3 linked regions of the Bombyx mori genome follow. The protein of the gene in region 1 purifies or fractionates together with the protein of each later gene. This does not show direct contact. Links are inferred from orthologs where the notes say so. Each region holds a gene or a part of one and is shown in the gene's direction. Other genes may lie near its edges.

Region 1 (4,156 bases):
ATAACTACGTAAAGGATTTGTCTCGTTAAAAGTTATAGGCGACTTCGCTAAAAGTTCCATCGTTAACGTTTCAAAAGCTACTTTTACATTCGTACTTCCAACCAAATGTCACTTCGCAAACTTATAATTGGCTTCACACAAAATTTTAACCGGTACGTAATGTATGTTCGCCTAATAATAAGAGAAGGTTATAGATTTTTTTGTGTGGGCAATTATAACCGCTGCTACATAACAGACGGATGAACAGAAAACAGTACATATTCTTCTGTATTCTTATTTTTTTTTATTGATTAGTTGGATGGACGAGCTCACAGCCCACCTGATGTTAAGTGGTTACTGGAGCCCATAGACATCTACAACGTAAATGCGCCACCCACCTTGAGATATAAGTTGTAAGGTCAGTATAGTTACAACGGCTACCCTACCCTTCGAACCGAAACGCATTACTGCTTCACGGCAGAAATAGGCAGGGCGGTGGTACCTACCCGCGCGGACTCACAACAGGTCCTACCACCAGTTGTGCTAAGTGCCAAAATATTAGATAAAACTAGTAAAATATGTGGTAACTTTACCTCAATTAAGCTTTAGTGACAATGAAAAATTATTGCCAGCTCGGTAGGCAATCTACGGGCTAATAGTTGAGCACAGACAATAAATTTTCACACCAGTATCGCTAACCGCCATATTGTGCAATCAGATCCGTCGTAATTCACAGCAAAACGGTTTCTATGCAAATCGGTGCCATCAAAATGATTAAATGCTTTTATCTGAGCATTTGCTATGTTCAAAGATTTATATTGTTGTAGGTTTTTGCATGTAAGTGGAAATGTTTTATATATTATACAAAAAGGAGTCGGCGAAAACTGTGTATATAACTTACAGCTAATTTATTAGAAATATTTTAAAATTGAATTTGAATATCTGACCTGATGGCGTATTAGGGCCTTGAAGCTGTCAATGTGCCTTTTTTTTATTTTTTATTTGAAGGATAAACAGCCGATAAAGAATACAACCTAGCTTTCTGTCTCACGTGTCATGGTTGATAGTGGTGGTAATGAGTCCGCACGGGTAGGTACCACCATCCTGCCTATTTCTCCCGTGAAGCAGTAATGTGTTACAGTTTGAAGGGTGGGGCAGCCGTTGTACTGTAAAAACTGGGACCTTAGAATTGATATCTCAGTGTAGGTTGCGGCATTTATGTTGTAGATGTTTATGGGCTCCGCTAACCACTTAACACCAACTGGGCCGTGAGCTCGTCCACTCACTTAAGCAATAAAAAAAAACGACAGCGTAAATATATTGTCTCTGGTAATTAGTTAAAATGAAGTATGCCATAAATTGGTGCTAGAGAAAAGAATAATGGAAAATAGGGATTATAGTTGCATTAATACTTGTACAGCTTTCTTTGTTTCTAAAATAAACGAGTACAAGTTGCATAAAAATTTGTAAAATTCCAATCGATTCTTTTTTAATCTCTCATTACATGTAGACAGGGAAGGCCTCACACAACAAATTTTGTTTAAATAAAATATAATGGTGAGCGCATTCTTTGAGACTATATTTGAGTGAAGCTACAAAAACTACGAAATGTAATATTACCTACCTACCTAACTAGGTATCAGACATGTTTGCAACGATTTAGACAATTTTGTAGACAGCGCCATCTAGCAGTAATTTTAAACACTAGTAAATTTCCAGTTAGACGCAAACAAATTAGTTTTAAAACTGAAAAGATCAGAAAATTGAGATTAAATTGATAGATTGAATCATTTTTGTTTGCTCGCTTTCATATAAATTTATTTTGTGAAGACATCATGCGTCTATCGATAAAAACTTTAGAATCAGCGGAGCAACAGAACCATGACTTAAGCGAGTGTCAACTGTCAGCTATGTTTTGATGAACATTGAACAGAGTGAACAGGCGATAGATAGATAGACAGACTTTGTTTTGGTTTTGGATTTGAACGCGACGATTTGTTTATTTTAGAATATTTATCTATTTAAATTGAAAAAATACAAACATAATGCCAAAACCGATTTGCAGTCAATGCGGAACCAACGATTCTATGTTATGGCGAAGCGCAGAAAACGGACAAATCTGTAATGATTGCCACTTTTCAACGGTGACACCGAAGGAATCAAAATTGGACAGCAGTATTAAAACCGATTGTGAAGACATTAAGGAAGACAAAGATAATGGTAAAAATGAGGAGTCTACGCCGGCTAAAGCTACCGGCAAGGGCACTAGGAAAAGCACTAGATCAACGAGATACAAACCTAAAACACCTGCTCCACCGCCATTGAAGCAGCCGGCGCCGCGGGGCAGAGGACGCAGGAGTCTATTCAAAAGGCAGCCATTGAAAGCACCAACAGCTACAGCGACTGTTGTTACAAGTGATTCAGTATTTTATCAGGTCTGTTCAATTATTTAATCCAATTAAAATCTGTAGTTAGATATACAACAGCTGTAGAAATATACCTTTTTTTTTATTTTTCAATAATCTTGAGGCTATATCGCATACTAATTATAGTTTAAAAACTGATTAGAGATTAATTTAATTTAAAAAACCCTAACTTATTATTCACAGTAAACATGAAAACTTGAAAAATTACCTCGGTTCTGCTTTGAATAGTCTGTGGTAATTTTTTCAGGGTATGTACATGCAAGTTGGTGATATTGTTTCGATGACTGACATTGATGGTGGCACATACTATGCCCAAATTAGAGGCTTCCTAACTGATGAGTACTGTGAGAAGAGTGCAGCTGTTACTTGGTTATTACCTACAAAAGCGAGCCCACCTCCAGAGAAATGTTTTGATCCTGCTACATATATCATTGGTATGAGCTTTTAATAATATTTTAATTAGAAATACAGATATTTGCAACAGGCAGAAGTAGGTGATTAAAGTATTTATTCAATATCTAAGGCATTTTGGGTGATTTTTTTCATTTTGTAAATTTAGTGCTTTAGATTTTCCACTTGTAATAATAGTGACTCATTAAATGTGTATTCGATCAAAGCTCGTGAATAGCAGAAAACGAAATAAGTCGCTTGACACGGCATTTCTAAAAAGCCTGCATTGTTTGATTTCACTTCCTCTCGTCTTGTTTCAATCTATATCATGTAATTTCATCCCAATATAATGAATATAATGAAATAAACCAACTTAATTAAATTCAGCTTAATTTTTTATTTTTATTTTGTAAATATGATTTTTACTAACTCAATACTGGCAACAATAGCATCACGAAAACTCAACTGCCATATAGCAAAAAAAAGAATAGTGTATATAAAAAATGTGACAGTTAAGGTTAATATTGCTGTAAATTTTCAGGCCCTGAAGAAGAGCTGCCTCGGAAACTGGAATACATGGAATTTGTGATGCATGCTCCATCTGATTACTACAAAGCGAGCAACAGTCCATACCCACTGACTGATAATGAACTGAATAATTATACTGGTTTTGTATGGACTTCGATGGAAGCTAAAGAGAGAACGTAGACTTTTATATTTAAGCAAAGTGAACATTTTGTTACAAAAAAATACTGTTTATGTTTAGTTTTATTACCCCATATACCCCGTAGTTAACATTTATTTAAATTTAGAGCACAATTTGAATTTCGATATCATTCACAGTTATAATTTTTTTTTTTTTTTTCCCTACCTAAGCTGATAGCCCTAGCGGCTGTCAGCGTAACCCTAACTTTAGTAGGTGAGCTCACGGGGCTCAAACCTGACGATGTTGCTAACACGAACCCTAGCAAGAGCCGTGCTTCGCAGAATCTACCACCGGATCGGAAACGCGACCCACTGAGAAGATCCGGCGAGAAACTCAGTGGGCTGTGTCTGAGAGTTAATTTACTCGTCGAGCCCTTCGTCGCAAGCGACGGGTTCGACGAGAACGGTGACCGGTGCTTTAAGTACCTAAAAGCACCGTTAGTGGATCAGGAGGATCCGAGATGACGTGTTTTGGGCGACGTCGACTGCTTTCCATTCTGTCCGCAGGATCGGGAATGTAGTTACCAGCGGCCACGATGAGAGGGTTCTCGTGTCGTGCCGCTTTATCGAAGTGGACAGTTATCAATCATTCAATAACACACATCATTCACTTTAATCATTCAAACCAACCAACATTTTTTTTCCTCCAGAAAATT
Region 2 (3,653 bases), on another chromosome or scaffold:
AGCTGATAACTGGTGATGAAAAGTGGATCACGTACGACAACAACGTGCGAGAAAGGTCGTGGTCAAAGGCCGGTCAGGCTTCGAAGACTGTGGCGAAACACGGGTTAACTCGCAACAAGGTGATGCTGTGTGTATGGTAGGATTGGAAGGGCACTATTCATTAGGAACTGTTACCACCAGGCAGGACCATCGATTCTGAACTCTACTGCGAACAACTGATGAGATTAAAGCAAGAAGTTGAGAGAAAGCGGCTGGAATTAATCAACAGAAGGGGTGTGGTTTTTCATCATGATAACGCTAGACCTCACACATCTTTAGCCACTCAGCAAAAATTAAGAGAGCTTGGCTGGGAGTTGTTAATGCATCCGCCGTATAGTCTTGACCTTGCACCTTCAGATTTCCACCTGTTTCGGTCTCGTCAGAATTCTTTAGGCAGTGTCAGGTTAACATCACGAGAGGACTGCCAAAACCAATTGTCGCGGTATTTTGATCACAAGCCCCAAAATTTCTATAGCAATGGGGCATGTCCTTACCTACAAGATGGCAAAAAGTTATCGAACAAAATGGTACCTACATACTTTAGTTAAATGTAAACAACTATATTAAAAAATATTGTGAATTTTCTTAAAAAATGCGATGAAACTTTTCCCCCAACCTATTACAATGCGCTGTAGCCCAAATCTATAGATTTGACACGATTTATTGACTTAACGGACATCAATATGAGTGGTAAAATCAAATAAAATTGAACCACTAAATTGACCAGTACAAAAAAGTTTATTGACATTAGCTTACTTACTCCTGATACAGCATTAATTTTTTAACCGTTGTCGAAAAAAATCTTAACTCGAATTCACAATAAAACGCATATCTATGAATAATAAAACGCACATCCGTTAAATTGACAACACTGCCAACCTACAAAAAGAAGTTAGGGGAACTCCTTAGGCATAACTTTTGAATTTCTCTCAACGGAGTTGTCATGATTAAAGTGGGGTTGCAACCTGTCATCTTTATTTTGGAAATGGAGAAATTTCCAAAAGTTCAGTTCGATCGAGATTTCTGGTAAGGATTCGAGGGCCCCCTGAGCTCGAGGGCCCCGGGGCACTGCCCCGCCTAGCCCCTTGGTAGCTACGCCACTGAGGGCCAGTCGGTGAGATAGAGATTTTGACACTCGACAATTACGTTGTAATAAAAATTGAATTGAAATTGAATATCTTGAAATAAGAGCTGGTGTCGCGGTGGCTCAGTGCGCGTACTGCTTGTGTCCAGGACTGGAAGCTGGTGAACTCCATCTCGGCGACGGAGCGGGTGGCGCTGTGGGACCGGTTCGCGGGGCCCGTGGACCAGCACGCCATCAAGATAGACTTCCTGCGCCGCGCGAGGAACCCCAACCCCAGGTTCAGGTGAGGGCCCGCTCCGGACCCCGGCTCCCACTTCTCTGATCCGGCCCCGAGAAGCCCCCAGTGCGAAGGGCTCATAAGATCAGCAATTTCGCTGTCGAATTCTATATTATCGGATAAGAAACTTTATGGTAATAAAAATATAATATATAGTTTAAAAATTTTGAAAACGCATATAATTAGCAACTCGAACTATTTTTATTTTATTTTTATTACTTAAATGTGTGGACGAGCCACTAGGTGTTAAGTGGATTTCGGAGTCCATAGACATCCACAGCGTAAATGCCGCCACCCACCTTGAGACATGAGTCCTAAAGTCTCAGTTTTACAGTATAGTACAACGGCTGTCCCACCCTTCAATCCGAACCGCATTACTGCTTCACGGCAGAAATAGGCGGGGTGGTGGTACCTACCCGCGCGGACTCACAAGAGGTTCTACAATCAGCAATTACGTAAATTATAATTTTGCGTGTTTGATTTTTATTACACAATGTACCTACACTTCACCATGGAAAAAATTGGTAGACCCCGCGGGATTCGAACACCGGTGCATCGCTAGATACAAATGCGCCGGACGCCTTATCTTTTAGGCCACGACGACTTCAAACTAACAATTGAATTATTATTTTTTACATTCTGTTGGTTCCGGCCGGGACAGTAGAGCCGAGTCGTAGCGCGGCACACGTCCAGCTAGTAGAGGCACGATACCAATAAGCAGTTGTTGTTGATTAGAATAAAGATCCCGGCCCACGTCCGCGGGCGCGTGCGCGTGCCGCCCATGGTCCGCAGCCACTACCGGCGCCCCGCCCCCCTGCTGCCGGCGCGGAGGGAGCACGTGCGCTGTCGGAACGGTGAGTGGACCATAAAATAAACGATATATGACTATATATATAACGAACTATAACTTAAAAAAGGAATGCAAAATGGCTCGCTGGTCCCGGTGGAGATAAACTGACAATGGAAAAATATTTTTTCAGTGTTAAAGAATCTGGGATTATCGAGTGTACTGGAGAGTGAGGGCGAAGAGTGTCGGAAGCACACCATCTGTATGAACATGGAGTGCCCGTCCTACAGCGGCGCCGCCCCCTGCCCCGCCGCCGCGCCGCACTCCCCCGCGCCCCGCCCCGCGCAGGTACTCACGCAACCTCGCCGCACTCGGAGACTTCTATCATTTCCACTATGACTATACTAAATTGGTAGAGCTAATTCACACCGGCGCTGGTGTCGCAGCCGGCCGGCGGAACGACGACATTAACGAAAGTACTTTGTTCGTTCCAACGAAAGAGTGCAAAATAAATAATCTAATTGTCTAATTACATTCACTGTCCCGCCCCAGGCGAGTGCGAGCCCGGGCTCGTCGGACTACTCGGACTCGGACCTGGAGTACTACACGGCGTCAGTGAAGAGACGGAAGGCCACCGGCGCCGAGGACAAGGGGTTCGGCCGGCGAGCCCGCGCCGACCGCGTGCAGCTGCGCGCCGACGAGCACGTGGAGCAGCTGCTGGCGCTCGTCGACGAGCAGCTCAAGAAGCTCGACGAGAGACTCGTGAAGCTGCTCGCCTGGCAGCGGCTGCAGCAGGTGCTGGCGGGCGAGGCGTGCGCGGGCTGGTGGCGCGACGTGCCGCTCTCCCGGGCCGTGGCGCGCGCGCTGGCCAGGCACCTCACGCGGGGCGCGCTCGCCGCGCACGGGTGAGACCCACTCACTATTTAACAAGTTTGTTTTGTACCGGTGCGCCGCCGCCCGTGCGTGATGACAGCGAGCACGTCCCCGGCAGGTTCCGTCACGTGTCGCTGCCGTCGGAGCTGCTGTCCCGGGCGGACCGCGAGCGCATCGCCCGCAGCGTGTGGGGCGCCGCGCCCGCCCCCCGCCCGCCGCCCCGCGCCGCCCCCCGCGCCACCCCCTCCCCGCCGCCGCCGCGTGCGCGCGCCCTGTCCGACGCGTGCGTGCGGGCCACACTCTGTGCTATCAACTCTATGGACAGGTAACGTGAGGAGACACGGATACCGGTTAAGTCCACGCGCAAGTAGTGAACTTCAGCACAAAACCAATATGCAATAGCCTGCACGGGCAGATCCCACCACCCTACCCGTGTCTGCCACGAAGTAGTAATACGTTTTGGTTTGAAGGGTGGGGCAACTGTTGTACTGTAAAAATTGAGGCCTTAGATCTTATATCTCGAGGAAGGTGGCATTATGTTGTTGATGAGCTCCGGTAACCCTTTAACACGAGGCGGGTCGTAAGCTTGTCCA
Region 3 (4,329 bases), on another chromosome or scaffold:
CCAGTTTTTTCCCGATTCGCCTGTCAATCCCTAATCGCCCCATTTTACCGGTACCGTTTTTATTGAGGGGTTGGAATGTCGTCCCTTTGCCGAGAGTGACGCTTAAACGTTTGACCTTCGAGGCCCATTGTATGGGCTGGCCAAAGAGAGTGATCGGGCGAACGCGGAGGTGTTAACGCGCTTATTAGGGAATGGGCTGCTCGAAGTGGTATTCGGAGGGCGACTCCTTTTGAAGAGCACCGCTGTGTTGTTCGTGGGGTTGATGTCAATGCGCTACTTCCAGAACTACTATTCAACAGTGGCTACTGTGATCTGGAATTGCCGATGCAATAGCCACTTCTTCCTACACGAGTAGTAGATAGCCGTGTCATTTGCGAAAAGCGCTAGATGGGTCTCCGCAGACCGGGGTATATCATTGATATACAAACTACATAATAACGGGGAGAGCGCGGAGCCTTGTGGGACTCTGGCCGTCAGATGACGGGGGCGAGAGTGAGCTCCCTCTACTCAATATCGAAACGAACAATTCAACAAGTCTCGTATGATGAGCACGAGTCTGTAGTCCCATGTTATACAGTTTGTATATGAAACCGCTAATTTTTGTTGAAGTGAAAACAACGCAAAAAAAATGTGATGACAGTATACTATGCTGCGTTCCGTTTTAAATAGTAACCAATATATCTAACTATGAAGGAACAGCTTCGCTATATTGACATCCGACTTTACAGTACTCGCAGTGCAAGCTAGAACATAACCGAAGGGTGGTAGTTTATGGCGCTGTTTTTTAAATCTTTCCACTTGCTTCTATGGCGCCAGCTTAATTATATTCCTTTCAGCAGACACTTTTTATTATACTGAGATGGTACTTCTTAGTTCTACCCTCCATATGTGTAGCAAAGACTAGATAAAACTTTAATATAATGCTGCGTAATACAAATACAGAGAACACACATAGACAAATTGAATAGTTCCAGAATTTCAATTAATGATCGGAACATAGCCTTCACTGCCATCTAGTACATTTCAGTTTGTTTAAAACTGCTGTGTTCATATCATTTGCACTTTCTATACTAGCGATATTTCGGTGAGTCTTCGAACAATATCTTACCGTTTAGAGGTGGAGACTTTTTCAACTTGTCCTCTATACAAAATGATATTCCTTAGTTCTATCCTCCATGGCTACACAGCTACCTAAGGCAAAACTGACTAGTTAACAAGGATGCCCATTTTCGCCCTAAATTTATATAGCTTAATATGTATAAAGCAGGTTAAAATATAATTCTATAGTTAATTATTATTGTAAATTAACTTTATTTTCATTTTATGTGTAACACAGGAAACATTTGGCAGTATGGTCTTTTACCTTCGCCTTTCCTCTTTTGTAAAAATTAAACGACTCAAGTCACAAGTCAGTCAGCCATTTGTAAACTGTAAACAAATAATCACATTATGTAGCAATGGCACCAAAGTTAAAATTTGCTGAAGGTAAATTATTTTTAGTACACTATTCAGTATAAATGTTTAGAATCAATTAATTTATTTGAAAATATTTATCGGTTTATTTACCGTAATTTATTTCAATGCAAATTCCTTAATTTCAGGTGAAAAAGTGCTATGTTTCCACGGACCGCTAATTTATGAAGCAAAATGTTTAAAAAGCTCAGTTACAAAGGACAAACACGTGAGGTATCTTATTCATTACGCGGGATGGAACAAAAAGTAAGTCATTTGGATGTCAGATTTGACGAAAATTAAGACAAGTAATGTAAACGAAATTTGTTGAACGGTGACCGATTGAATCACGAAGACTTGAAAGGATTCAATAGTAATTAGTATCTACCATTAAAGTATGTACTATTATTTTATAAAAACCTGCAAGCTATACATTATAATTCATACAATAAAGCTTAAGTTAAGAAATTTAGTGATATTCACAGTATTTTATTTTGCTGTTCAAAATTATAATCATATAGCACCACACCAAAAATTTTATTGGTTAATGTTAAACTGTTAAACAATAATATATTATAACATTGATCAATAATAACACAAGAACACATGAAGTTCAAAACTACACAAGATTAAAAACTCACCGACTTAAAAACAAATTAAAGGATTGCATCAAAATATTTTAACAATAAAATTAAAAGTATTTTATAGAAATCTAACTTAATAGTCTTAATACTTATAATAAAATTACAGTGGACTGAATCCATACCACTAAAATTATTAGTAGATTAATAAACATTAAATTTAAACCAAATTTATTTAGCTGTATGATATGAAAAACTACTGAAAAGAGAAATACAAATTGTATATTATAAATGTCTTAATGTTATTTCAGTTGGGATGAATGGGTGCCTGAAAGCCGTGTTCTGAAGTACAATGAAGCAAATGTACAAAGGCAGAAAGAAGTCCAAAGAGCTCATTCCGCACAACCAACTAAAACTAAGAAAAGTTAGTAATTTACACCGTTTTCTAAGTTACATTTAAAAATATTTGGAACCATGGAAATATTTGGTTTTATAATTAAAAGAAATAATACCATTAAACACTGGATTGTCTCTTGCAATTCTAGAGGGTGGTGCAAGTATAAGGATTAAAAATCAGTTGATTTGTACATATTTTATGAATTTGAAAAATACTTTAAATTTTTATATATAGGAAAACAAATCAGATTTAGAATCTGTATGAACTAGTATAAGATATTGTTGTTACTTTGATTTATTTAAATTAACATTTTCTTAGTTTTGCGAGTTTGACAGTAAAGTAGACATGATAAGAAAAAGTCTGTTCTTATTTTTATTAGTTCATCCTGGCATTTTATGTACTGTCTATACTTTTATAGTTTTTGTGATAGTTACAAATGTAAAAATATGACAACAGGTGATTTATAGTTTTAATGGGTATTACTTCTTGATTTTGCAATAGATTCTTGAAAATTAAATAAACCAATATGATCATTCTGTACAACAGTCTAAAAATCTGCAATATTAAATACAATTGCAGCTCCCGCAAAGGGTAGGAAATCTGATGCAGCAGTTGCTGCAACTACTCCAGCTAGAGAAGAATCAAGAGCATCTACCCCTGCGAGTAGTACTCAAGGTATTTTTGTTATCATTAACAGAAGCTTGCTAAGGTTATTAGATTTGGAAGCCTAAAAATTCAAGATGAATAAGAAGTCGATAGCTATAGTATTATGGTGTTTTTATTGATGTATCAAAGCTATGGACACCAGGAACCTAATGCTTTCCAATTAGTGTTTTTTTTTTTTTTATTTGTGGATGAAAGTCAGCAAAAGGTAACTTAAAAAAATTAGCAATTCTAAAGTATGTTACTTCTGTTTAGCAAATTATTAAAGTGTGTCAGTTTTGTCTCGCCTTAGTTTTTGTTTAAAATAAAATTGGATCTAATCACAACGAGGAGAAGCTGGGATGGATTTTGAAGGATTCCTTTTACTCACATTAAAATTTTCTCTGGAATGGCCTGCTTATTTCGAACCATATGTTTTGACAAACAAAGCGATGTTCACACTGTTTCACTTTATTGTTATTATTATTATATTTTATTATTTAATTATGAACTTAAGAACATGTGTTGGGTAACAAAGCAGTTCACTGTGTGTGTGTCTTTATACAACCCGCACTTAGAAATCCTTTTATTAAAAGAAGAACAGATATCCTCACTAATACAGTTACGAAGCAGCTTGTTGCTGATTTAAAGGATAGGACAGCTGTCATAAGAATGCAATTCAGTTCTCGACCCACTAAAAAGATGTATTCCAACAGGTAGTTGGTTTATTAACGCAAATAAAAAAAAAAAAAAATTATAATGACAAAACAAGTAGGTATTTAGGAAAATGAGTTCCCATTGTAAATATAGTTGGCATTCAGTGTGAGATCCAATTTAAATTTTATCTCTCATTAAAACTCATGTTAATGTTTTCTTTTCAGTAAAAGAGTCCGATAGTACACCAGCTCCCGCAAAAACAACTAAAACTCAGAGTAAAGATACACCTGCTGATTCTGGATCTGATCAACCTAAGTATGTCTGTCCGTATGTTTAACACACACTCACACGCATATTGCAATCTTTTGGAACCTACTCATGTTCCTACACAGGTTCACCTACTTAAGTTCATGCTTATATATAAAAGTTGATAATTATATATGTGTACCGCTTTAACATTCCATACAATTTTGGGGTTCAAAAATAGTCGTCTAATAATGGAAATGGTAGCAATATACCCATTGAATTTCTCGCCGGATCTTCTCAGTGGGTCGCGTTTCCGATCCGGTGGTAGATTCTGCAAAGCACTGCTCTTGTTAG

Evidence for each region.
Region 2: the proteins of GATA zinc finger domain-containing protein 1 (region 1) and PHD finger protein 12 purify together in Homo sapiens (affinity purification with mass spectrometry; 7 studies listed by BioGRID and IntAct, with this or other methods). This does not show direct contact. The link is inferred for Bombyx mori from reciprocal best matches to the Homo sapiens genes GATAD1 and PHF12.
Region 3: the proteins of GATA zinc finger domain-containing protein 1 (region 1) and mrg purify together in Homo sapiens (affinity purification with mass spectrometry; 7 studies listed by BioGRID and IntAct, counting the BioPlex papers as one, with this or other methods). This does not show direct contact. The link is inferred for Bombyx mori from reciprocal best matches to the Homo sapiens genes GATAD1 and MORF4L1.

The regions. Positions count from the first base shown.
Region 1 is NC_085134.1:2,611,157-2,615,312, forward strand, and holds GATA zinc finger domain-containing protein 1, read left to right. Parts: upstream 1-1,487; 5' UTR 1,488-2,024; coding exon 2,025-2,414; intron 2,415-2,652; coding exon 2,653-2,839; intron 2,840-3,336; coding exon 3,337-3,503; 3' UTR 3,504-3,554; downstream 3,555-4,156. UniProt on the Homo sapiens protein: Component of some chromatin complex recruited to chromatin sites methylated 'Lys-4' of histone H3 (H3K4me), with a preference for trimethylated form (H3K4me3).
Region 2 is NC_085122.1:14,111,534-14,115,186, reverse strand, and holds part of PHD finger protein 12, read left to right. Parts: intron 1-1,272; coding exon 1,273-1,406; intron 1,407-2,135; coding exon 2,136-2,254; intron 2,255-2,380; coding exon 2,381-2,535; intron 2,536-2,739; coding exon 2,740-3,092; intron 3,093-3,178; coding exon 3,179-3,385; intron 3,386-3,653.
Region 3 is NC_085127.1:11,194,375-11,198,703, forward strand, and holds the start of mrg (mortality factor 4-like), read left to right. Parts: upstream 1-1,430; 5' UTR 1,431-1,457; coding exon 1,458-1,485; intron 1,486-1,601; coding exon 1,602-1,719; intron 1,720-2,344; coding exon 2,345-2,457; intron 2,458-3,009; coding exon 3,010-3,105; intron 3,106-3,953; coding exon 3,954-4,044; intron 4,045-4,074; exon of another isoform or gene 4,075-4,306; intron 4,307-4,329. UniProt on the Homo sapiens protein: Component of the NuA4 histone acetyltransferase (HAT) complex which is involved in transcriptional activation of select genes principally by acetylation of nucleosomal histones H4 and H2A.